Saccharomyces cerevisiae S288C: one gene and its partner. The protein of the gene in region 1 interacts with the protein of each later gene in a biochemical or structural test. Each region holds a gene or a part of one and is shown in the gene's direction. Other genes may lie near its edges.

The links. The genes of interacting proteins can lie anywhere in the genome.
Region 2: the proteins of UBC4 (region 1) and APC11 form a complex in vitro, tested with the Saccharomyces cerevisiae proteins (22 studies listed by BioGRID).

The regions. Positions count from the first base shown.
Region 1 is NC_001134.8:406,128-410,655, reverse strand, and holds UBC4 (E2 ubiquitin-conjugating protein UBC4), read left to right. Parts: upstream 1-3,486; coding exon 3,487-3,533; intron 3,534-3,628; coding exon 3,629-4,028; downstream 4,029-4,528. Other genes in the region: TEC1 (Tec1p), read right to left, coding at 27-1,487. UniProt on the Saccharomyces cerevisiae protein: E2 ubiquitin-conjugating enzyme that catalyzes the covalent attachment of ubiquitin to other proteins. Mediates the selective degradation of short-lived and abnormal proteins. Mediates ubiquitination of PEX5.
Region 2 is NC_001136.10:431,496-437,189, forward strand, and holds APC11 (anaphase promoting complex subunit 11), read left to right. Parts: upstream 1-2,001; coding exon 2,002-2,499; downstream 2,500-5,694. Other genes in the region: YDL012C (uncharacterized protein), read right to left, coding at 1-22; glutathione-disulfide reductase GRX6, read left to right, coding at 835-1,530; YDL009C (uncharacterized protein), read right to left, coding at 1,430-1,753; YDL007C-A (uncharacterized protein), read right to left, coding at 5,072-5,329. UniProt on the Saccharomyces cerevisiae protein: Probably catalytic subunit of the anaphase promoting complex/cyclosome (APC/C), a cell cycle-regulated E3 ubiquitin-protein ligase complex that controls progression through mitosis and the G1 phase of the cell cycle.

The DNA.
Region 1 (4,528 bases):
CGAGATGTATGTATGTATGTAGACATTTAATAAAAGTTCCCATGCGATTGGTTGGATGGCGTAAAGTTCCTTTGATGTGGAGAATGTTCGTAATGCTGGGGTGATGATAATAACAGCTGCGAAAAATAAGATGTTTGGTACTGGGGCAGACCTTGAATATAATTGGCATTGTAAGCATCTTCAGCAGGTCTTGGATACATGGGCCTTCCTCGTACTTTGGAGAGTGAGTAGGGCATTCCATTATTCTTGTAGTATGGCACTGGTCTGCTTTGGAGTTGTGTGACTGTGGCTGATCTTGGGACTACTTCTTCCTCCGATTCGTACTCTGAACCGGAATTGGAATTGGAACTGAACTCAGGATTACTTTCATGTTCTTGTATGCGGGAAATTCTTTGGTATTTGTTGATTATCTTTCTCTGCTCTATTTCGATTTTTTTTGCACTCTCCAGGATTGCCTTCTTGTTGGAAAAGCTAGCCTTATTGGGGCGATCTCCCTGGTGGAGTTCCGTGGGGGAAAGTTGTTCAAGAGGCCTCTTTGACGGAACGCACTTGTAGCCGTCTATGTTTTCATAAATGTGCTTAGCGTAAATGAGGGGGGTTTTGGCTTGAGATGCAGCATTAGTTTTTATGAAATTTTCAATTTTTTTCTCGTTGGAAGCAGTGATTGGCGTAAGCAGTTTTGAATGTACTGACAATCCACTGCTATTATTACTTACATAGAGGTTTTTAGGGGTTAAACTTCCAGAATCACTGACTGAAGGTAGAGAGTCGATAATTTCTTCAAATATGTCATAAAACAGGTTTGAGTTTTCAGTAGTTTGTTCAGCGCCATGTTCGATAAGGTGTAGAAGCTCCTTCTCCTTTGATGATAGGGTCAGCGAGTCCTTGATTTTGTTTTGTATGGTCTTCTTCCAGACTTGAATATGGGAAGAAATTTGCTTTTTGGTTCTGAACTCGTTGGTTTTGTGCTTGATATATAATGAAATCAGCTCGTTTCTTCCAAAATTGGCATTTCTTATTTTTATTTTTGTGGTCCCATTTTTCATTATCAGTCTAAGTGCCTCAAGGAATGCCTCTTCTACCTTTTCTGACCACTTATCACAACCGATAGTCCAAGATTCCGTTGTTGACGACGTTTCGCTACTTTGTCCGGGAAAGTAGTTGCTCACAGATATATTTGGTACTTCATTCTTCCTCTGCTTGTCAGTGAACGTAGCCTTTGCTGATGGAGATTTCAAATCGTCCGATTTAGCACCCAGTCCAGTATTTACCAGTTCGAATTGAGGATGCGTGTCTATGAGATTGATGTTATCCTCCGCTTCATTTTTCACACAAGCGGCGGTTGAAACTACGGCTTCTGGAAACATATCATCCAAGGCCGACTGTGAATACGAATCTTTTTGTATATATACGTCAAAAATTCTACCAGTATATGATTCTATATTTCTAGAATTATCCTTGCCAAAGTCGTCTTCTTTAAGACTCATGGTTAAACAGGTATCAGAATTGTTGAAATAGGTGGATTATTCTTCTTGTCGATATGGGAGGAATCTGGCACCAGTCGAAGAATCTCCTGTTTCATAAACATTTATAAAAGTAAGAAAAGGGTTGTCATATGTAAAAAATTAAGCAAGCCTTTTGTTTCAAACTTAATATATACCTCTGCGGGGGAATTACTTTTTTGGTAATAAGCTATTTTCTCCAGCTATGGGCCGTACCATCGAGAGAAACTCCAGCACCATGGATTGCTGATGGTAGCTACAGGTGCTTTTTAACTGTGCATGAGCCAAGAGCCTTGTGAGGGACCATTCGTGGAGTCCAGCTCAGCTTGTTTCCGGAGAGTTTCCCAGAATAATAAGCAAACGCAATCTGAAACACGCACATTCCCGAATTCAATGGGAAATTCTTTGAGTCGTACGCGGAATGCGAGCGGTGCCGGGGAATTCCAATGAGGCTGATTAAACCGGACTACGGGCAAAATGGCTCATCTGAAACACCTTGCGCCGATAAAAGACCCTCACCTGTGTCACTAAATGGAAAGAGTTGGCGTAAAATCTTCCTGTAAAAGGATCTCACCATTTTGGCCTAAAACATCATCATATCTGTTTTCGTGGAAAAAAAAGGCCGCTCATACATGAATACAGTGGGCACATGCCACCTGTTATTCCATAGCTGGCTTTACTGTAATATTAGAATAGTTCCTATCTGTGTGAAAAGTTTCTTTCGTTACCTTTTTTTCAGAGTCAAAAGCTGGAGGAGGCTATTGTACTTGCCTGTAGTTCCAGGTAACAATCGCTTAAGCAGTGAGCCCGCTTAATGAGAGCAAGTTATATATGTTTTGCTAAAACCTGCCAGATTCTCAGCCTAGAAGATATAAATCTAACGTGGATTTGTTACAGGCTGTCATACCTTATGTACTTACGCATCGTATCTTGTATGTGTTCACTTTTTTCTGGTAACTACACCACTTGGCTTAACCTTGCCAGGAACCGAGTAGGCCACACATGTTTTGAATATTGTAAGTGTGTACAATAAGCTGCAGTACTCTTTTGATTCTGTAGGAAACCAGCGAAGAACGTACTCTTGCCTGAAGAGAAGTTTTTTTTATTTATTTATATTTTGTTCTGGAAGCTCTTTACAGAATGGAGTAGGAAAATATATAGAGAGGAAAAGCGAAATCGTTACGAGAATAAATAATCAAGAAAAGAAACTTGAACTTGGCTTTTCCAAAACAACAGAAGTAGCGTTAATTTACTTTCACCGTAAAATTCAACTCTTTAAATATAGTCCACTTAGTAAATTCTTGCCAATTTGCATGATAAATTCGAACCCATTCCTCAAAATAAAGGGTCCTCATACATTCCATGGAAAGAAAGTTTTCTTGAACATTAAGAATAAAAAGGCAAAAAAGAAAAAAAAAAGCACAGCTACTGTTTTAGTCAACATTCCTTTCTCACTGGAATGCACAAGGTGTCATTCCTGAACAAGGGTAACTGCACTATTCATATGTCCACCTTATGACTTCATAAAAAGTTTGACAATAAGTAGTCTTACGTGATAAGAAATGATGTAACATAAGGCTAATGTCCTTATTCCAAAGTATCTCATTTATACAATAAACAAAACTGATCTTACCGCCTATCCTCCTCTCCGCACTAATCAATTGTTATAGTTTTTCTCGAAGCGAGGATCAAATGGCCGAGCAACAGGAAAAGGAGTACCGGCGGTCACATGGTCTGCGAGATTTTTCCCGCTGCGGAAAAACCTGGCAACAGCTCACCTTGAAAGGCCTTGGCCTGTATTTTTCTTTTTTCTTCATCCTTCTTTCTTTTTCTTTATTCTTATTTTTCATCTTAATAAATAATCCAGAGAATAAATCTATCCTGAAAAAAAATAAAGTAAAGAAGCCAGGAAAATCACTATCGCCACAAGTAAATAAATTTCACTGACTATAGAGTACATACATAAACAAGCATCCAAAAAAACATGTCTTCTTCTAAACGTATTGCTAAAGAACTAAGTGATCTAGAAAGGTATGTCTAAAGTTATGGCCACGTTTCAAATGCGTGCTTTTTTTTTAAAACTTATGCTCTTATTTACTAACAAAATCAACATGCTATTGAACTAGAGATCCACCTACTTCATGTTCAGCCGGTCCAGTCGGCGATGATCTATATCACTGGCAAGCATCCATCATGGGACCTGCCGATTCCCCATATGCCGGCGGTGTTTTCTTCTTGTCTATCCATTTCCCAACCGACTACCCATTCAAGCCACCAAAGATCTCCTTCACAACCAAGATATATCATCCAAATATCAATGCCAATGGTAACATCTGTCTGGACATCCTAAAGGATCAATGGTCTCCAGCTCTAACTCTATCGAAGGTCCTATTATCCATCTGTTCTTTGTTAACAGACGCTAATCCTGACGATCCTTTAGTACCAGAAATCGCTCATATCTACAAGACTGACAGACCCAAGTACGAAGCTACAGCCAGAGAATGGACAAAGAAATACGCTGTATAAACAGAAGTCCTTACTCAGCTGAAAAAGAGAAGCAAGATTTATATGGGATTGGACGATGAAAAGAATATTAGATACAATGTATTTAAGAAAGAATACAATAAAATATATGTATATTCTATCTCTAATAACATAGATTTACTGATATAAGATATAAGACTATTGTTGGCAACAGTACAGGGGAACCTTTTTTTTTTTTTCCAAACAACTCGAATCGTAAACCTTAATTTAATTTATTCAGGGGAGATTCATGAACATTTTTTTCCTCGAACAGTATGGAGAATTTTTGCTTAGTTACATGCACGCAAGCGCGGGTATATCCCGCATATATTTCAGTTGTGGTTCATATTTGACCTAACTTGTCGAGGGAGCGTCAACGTTAACCGTACCTTTTTCATTTCTAGTCTATCTGTAGGTTAATTACTATTGTCATTAACATCATTTCTGGGGTGAAGCCTATTTAAATTTTTGAAGTTCAACGCATAGCTAGTATATGTAATCAA
Region 2 (5,694 bases), on another chromosome or scaffold:
CGTAATAATCTTGAGCTGACATGAGATGTGTATTTGCTTGGTTTATGGGCTATTGTATGGGTTTGTCTTAATATCCTTTTCGGTTGCGTAAATACTTTTTATATTTCAATATTTCACGATGCCGCTGATAGCATCGTTTAATACGAAAACTTCGAGCCATTTACCAAGAAATATTCTGGACTAGGTGGAAGGAAGCTTCGAGAACTCACCGTGGCTATTCAAGGCTGATGGACATATGTACTGGGCTGAGCTTAAGATCTCCCATTACTGCTCCGTGGGGTTTTATGTGAAATGTGGCGTTTCAGCAGTTTTTAGTTGGCTAATTTCCTAAAAGTAGTAATTAGTTTCTTATGATGGATTTAATGGCGTAGTTCATCCGCGTTTAATTTAACTAGAGGATAATCTACTTGCAGCATGAATGAAAATAGTAAGCCAGTAAGGATGCACTGACAGACTCAGCTACCGATTAGTGTTGTTGACTTTTCCGCAAGATCCTTTTCTCCCTCTTTGGACCTAGTCATCCCTCCACACAAGATTCGCTCTTAAGTAGTGGCGCAGGCTGTTCGCTTTTAAGCATAGTGCTTAATGTCGAAGGCTTTATAGATCCCAAATACTACGCCTTGAGAAATTGAATGCACTAGCAGTTAGTTAACTTTCTGGAACGCGCATGACGCGTCCCGGGGCGCCTGAGGCGGAGCGTTCGCGAAATCGGGAAAACATTATACTGGGAAAGATCACTATCTATTCTCTAAATGAACTTTTAAGCAAATTATCGTAAGATAGAAAAGACGAAACCTTAGCAACCTAGCGGTTTAATATAGAAACAATTTTATTATGATACCTTCCAATAAGAGAAATGCTAGAATTTTAAGCATTACAACGCTATTATTGTTGTTAGTGTTTTTCGTAGCGCAAAATGCGAACTTCTTGACGGTAGAGATAAAAGAGGAAACTTCTAAAGCATTTAGTACTAATATGGACAATATGGCTGGAGGATCTTCCAGGGAATATGCTGCTATGCCGACTTCTACCACGAATAAGGGGAGCTCTGAAGTAGACGAAGAAATTAATGAAATAAAACAGAAGGTGGGACTCCAACAGCCCATAGCATCGGTTGATGATAGTTTGTCGGCCATTAAAAACGATAAAGGGTCGCGAATAACCAAAGCTTTTAATGTTCAAAAAGAATACTCCCTCATACTAGACTTGTCTCCGATTATAATATTTAGTAAAAGCACCTGTTCATATAGCAAGGGCATGAAGGAACTGCTTGAAAATGAGTATCAGTTTATCCCAAACTACTATATTATAGAACTTGACAAACATGGACATGGGGAAGAGCTGCAAGAATATATCAAGTTGGTGACCGGTAGAGGAACTGTTCCAAACCTTTTGGTTAATGGAGTATCAAGAGGAGGTAATGAAGAAATCAAGAAACTGCACACTCAAGGGAAACTTTTAGAATCATTACAAGTCTGGAGTGATGGTAAATTCTCGGTTGAGCAACGTGAAAAACCTTCCAATAATTGAAATTGTTACAAAAAGGAAAGAAGAAAAAATTAAGAATAAATATATAAATAAAGAGGTCGTGAATGATTAGGTCGTGAAATGCAGTGTAGTTGGAAAGGCGTAGTTTTCCTAGCACAAGGCGTTTCGGAGTTGGAATAAAGAAGCTATCACCAACGAAGAAGCTTTTTTGTCCAAGACATCTCTTAAAAGGGTTGTGAAAACATAAAACGCTTAATGCCTTCATATATACATATATAAGTTTATGGTTTCGATGTTTACAATAACTTCTATCCTTTGCTGGTCCATGCACTTCACCTTGGTAAGTTATGCAACGCACTTTTGTCTACGCCTGCATTCGATATAAAGGGTAAGCTGCCGAGATAACTTTTGTATCTTCCGTGTCTGCAGATAAAAAAATAATGCATTCTTCAAAAACTTTGTACAATATCGGGAGAGTTTAACAAGCAAAGTGGCAATACAGATTATAAAAATATGAAAGTTAAAATAAACGAAGTGCACAGTGTGTTTGCTTGGTCATGGCACATCCCTAGCACATCTGATGAGGACGCAGCCAATAACGATCCAATTGGCAATGATGAAGACGAGGATGTCTGTGGTATCTGTCGTGCCAGTTATAACGGTACCTGTCCAAGCTGTAAATTTCCAGGCGATCAATGCCCTTTAGTGATTGGGCTATGTCATCATAACTTCCATGATCATTGTATATACCGTTGGCTTGATACACCAACCTCAAAAGGACTGTGTCCGATGTGTAGGCAAACTTTCCAGCTACAGAAGGGTCTAGCAATTAATGACGCTCATGTCCAAAAGTTCGTTGAAATAGTTTCAAGAAGAAGAGAAGAAATGATAGAGGAGGGCGTCGCAGAAGAGTTTGTGGACTTTGATGAACCAATAAGGCAAAACACCGATAACCCAATCGGTAGACAGCAAGTTGATACCATCCTGGACGAAGACTTTTTGTTACGATAAAAAAGAAACTTAGAAATCACAATTAGCTATATTTCCATACGGTTCTTTTCTTGTGAACGCTGTTAACATTCTGTATACTTAAATGAAAATTTAATATTGATTTTTTCTTGTTGCAGCTAAAGATAAAAAAATTTTCTTTTCCAATCGTTGAATAGATGTACTGTAGCCGGAACTGAAGTTAAGGTTGTTAGATTGAAAAAGAACAACAGTGTACTAATCATGCTAACGATGACAGCGGTATCGTTGCATACTTAGAATACATAAAAATATGCTTCCAATCGGATTTGAACCGATGATCTCCACATTACTAGTGTGGCGCCTTACCAACTTGGCCATAGAAGCTTCTGATTTGTGTTCATTTGATTGTAAGTTAGAGTATTTCAAGCTCTAACTCAATTATGTGAACTTTCATAAAATTGTGTTATTTTTGAGAAATATGTGAGTTGTTAGATAATTGTTGGGATTCCATTGTTGCTAAAGGCTATAATATTGGTATACAGAATATACTAGAAGTTCTCCTCGAGGATATAGGAATCCACAAAAGGGAATCGATAGTTCTACATAATGTTATTATTTTATCTTCTTTCCTTTTATGCGTTGTCATTCATTATCCTATTACATTATCAATCCTTGCATTTCAGCTTCCATTAGATCGGATGACTGTTTCTCAATCTTTATGTCATCTTCTTACACCGCATGTGATAATATAATATTAAATAGATGATATTAGAGTTCAATTCCAACAATTTTCATTCTAGATAGCGGGAATATTACTGGGTATTCAGTATATCACAACGTCTCTTACAAGATAGAGGATACTACAAGAGGGAAGCAAGAATCATACATGGTAATGTTGTTTTTTCTTCCCCACATTTTTTGTTATCATTCGTTATTTATTATATTTTCAATGCTTGCATTTGCAGCTTCCATCTCATCTGATGACTGTTTCTCAATTCTTATAGTGTGTTATCATGTACGGTATTAGATGATGACATAAGGTTATGAGAAATTGTCGTCGAAGTTAAAGGAAGCTGTATTCTGTATACATAATACTATAGAATTTACAAACAGTGGAATTGCAACAATTATCAAATTATTCACCTAATAATCACCTTTAACATTCAGGGAGGTTTATTTTTGCTTCCGAAATTTTTACAGTCTACAGGGAAGAAATAAATATTTAGTTGAGAAAGTTTTGTTTATTTGTAAGTTATTAATTTGAAAAATAAATACCATAACTAGCGCAAAGCTTATAAAAGAGATGTTTGTTGAAAAATGCAGAAACCCCATATATAAAACCATGAAATGTCACAATGGACATGATGTACATTCTTGGAGATAACATCATATTCGAAATATTCAATATGCCCAATTGGTACCTGTTCTCCATACCCCATTATATGATACAAATGATCTGCCCCTATTCTAACACTGTGCTAGCAACATAGCAATTATACTAAATTTTTTCAGTCACTATGCAATACATGTAATCTCTCAACTACCAAGCAGTCATTATTCTATTAATATATATTTGTGCTTGGAAGTATTGTTTCACTTCTCAGAGGCCTTTCTTGACATGTTATAGTTTTTTAGGTACCTTCTAATCCTGTAAATTTATACAAAAATTGGTATATAATGGCTACCTCCGGAAATTTTAACAACTTTTGGGTCACACTATTACTGTGTATACTTCCTTTAGAGATCTCAAGCATTACTGAAAGATAACCTGAGGAAAAACATAGCGCGTCTACGGATGTGTAATACTCGCTGGATTTCCTGGTAAAAACTACTGTACATTTATCAGCTGCCTCTGCCAATGCTATTGAGAACCGTAGGTTCATTAGAATTACTTCATTCAACGGAAAACGTCACTATACCTGCCGCTTGTGTGTCGCGTCAGTAACGCCTTGACAGAAAAAGAAAGAAAAGAATATGACCGACCGATCGATGTATTATTATTATTGAACTGATTATAAAAAATTGGAACGTCGTAGAATCAGAAATCATAAGACAATGGCCAACTATGCCAAATCACACATCAATATTTAACCGAGATAGCAAAAGAAAATAAATTTCGATTATTTTTAAAATGTAACTGACAGTTTTTGGCACTTGTGGACTTCCTCTTTCCGGCAGATAGCAAAACCAACGGTAGAATGGCCCCGAAATTTAAATTTTATTTCATTGTGTGCTTGAGCGTGGCCTTTTTTTTTTTTTTTTTACATATCACAAACAATTCACACATTACCACACATACCATAAGCTAACGTATGCGGTGCAAAGTTCACTATTAGGCGCTTAAAGGCTTGGAACGAAATGACTTCTGGCTTTTGTTTCCTATACACATTCTTAGCAAAACTTTTGGTGTTGTAACAAGCAATGAGATAGAGAAAGAAATATATCCATCAATGGAAGAAATAGGCAGACGTCGGTAATTTTATTCTATTGAAAATATGCAAAAGTGACAGTATAAATTGAAGTAACTAATTTTACATCTAGTAAGCTGCTGTTGAAGAATTGAATAGTATCGCAGTATTTATTTTGTATACCCTTAGAATACACATACTTGGTGTTAGAAGCCATCTAATACACTATATAACTCGGGGATTAAATCATCTTGGAAGAGCGAATCTAGTTCAGGATCGCCTGTCGTAAAGTTCGAGGATAAGGACATCGAATTTAGTAGTAGTCCTAATGACTCGATGTTATTGTCTAAAATTTGTTCAATTTCTTTTCCTGATTTATCATCGTCTTCTTGAATAGGTAAACAGTAATATTTACCAAAGTTCAGGAGGGTTAGGATGGTGTGAAAAATTATAGGAAGGAACATCAAGAAAGTGCTTGAAATATTTTTCTTGGATTATGGAAGTATCAAGAACGATATTATTTCAATAATGTGATGGTTTATATCTTTGCATACAATAGATTTTGTGATACTTTTTTTATGTAATGGTCCCGTAACCCCGTCGCTCTTTCCCTTTTAATTTTGCCCGATCCACTTTCTATGCCGGTAGTTTAGCCGCCAAGTGCTATTTTCAAACGAATCAATAGTAGCGGCTGCAACTTTGAAAAAGAAAGAAACAAAATTATGCGCTAGTTTTCCATTTCTTGTATTCTTTTTTCTTTTGCGGTGGTAATTACGGGAATTTAGTGATGTTGGAACGAGAGTAATTAATAGTGACATGAGTTGCTATG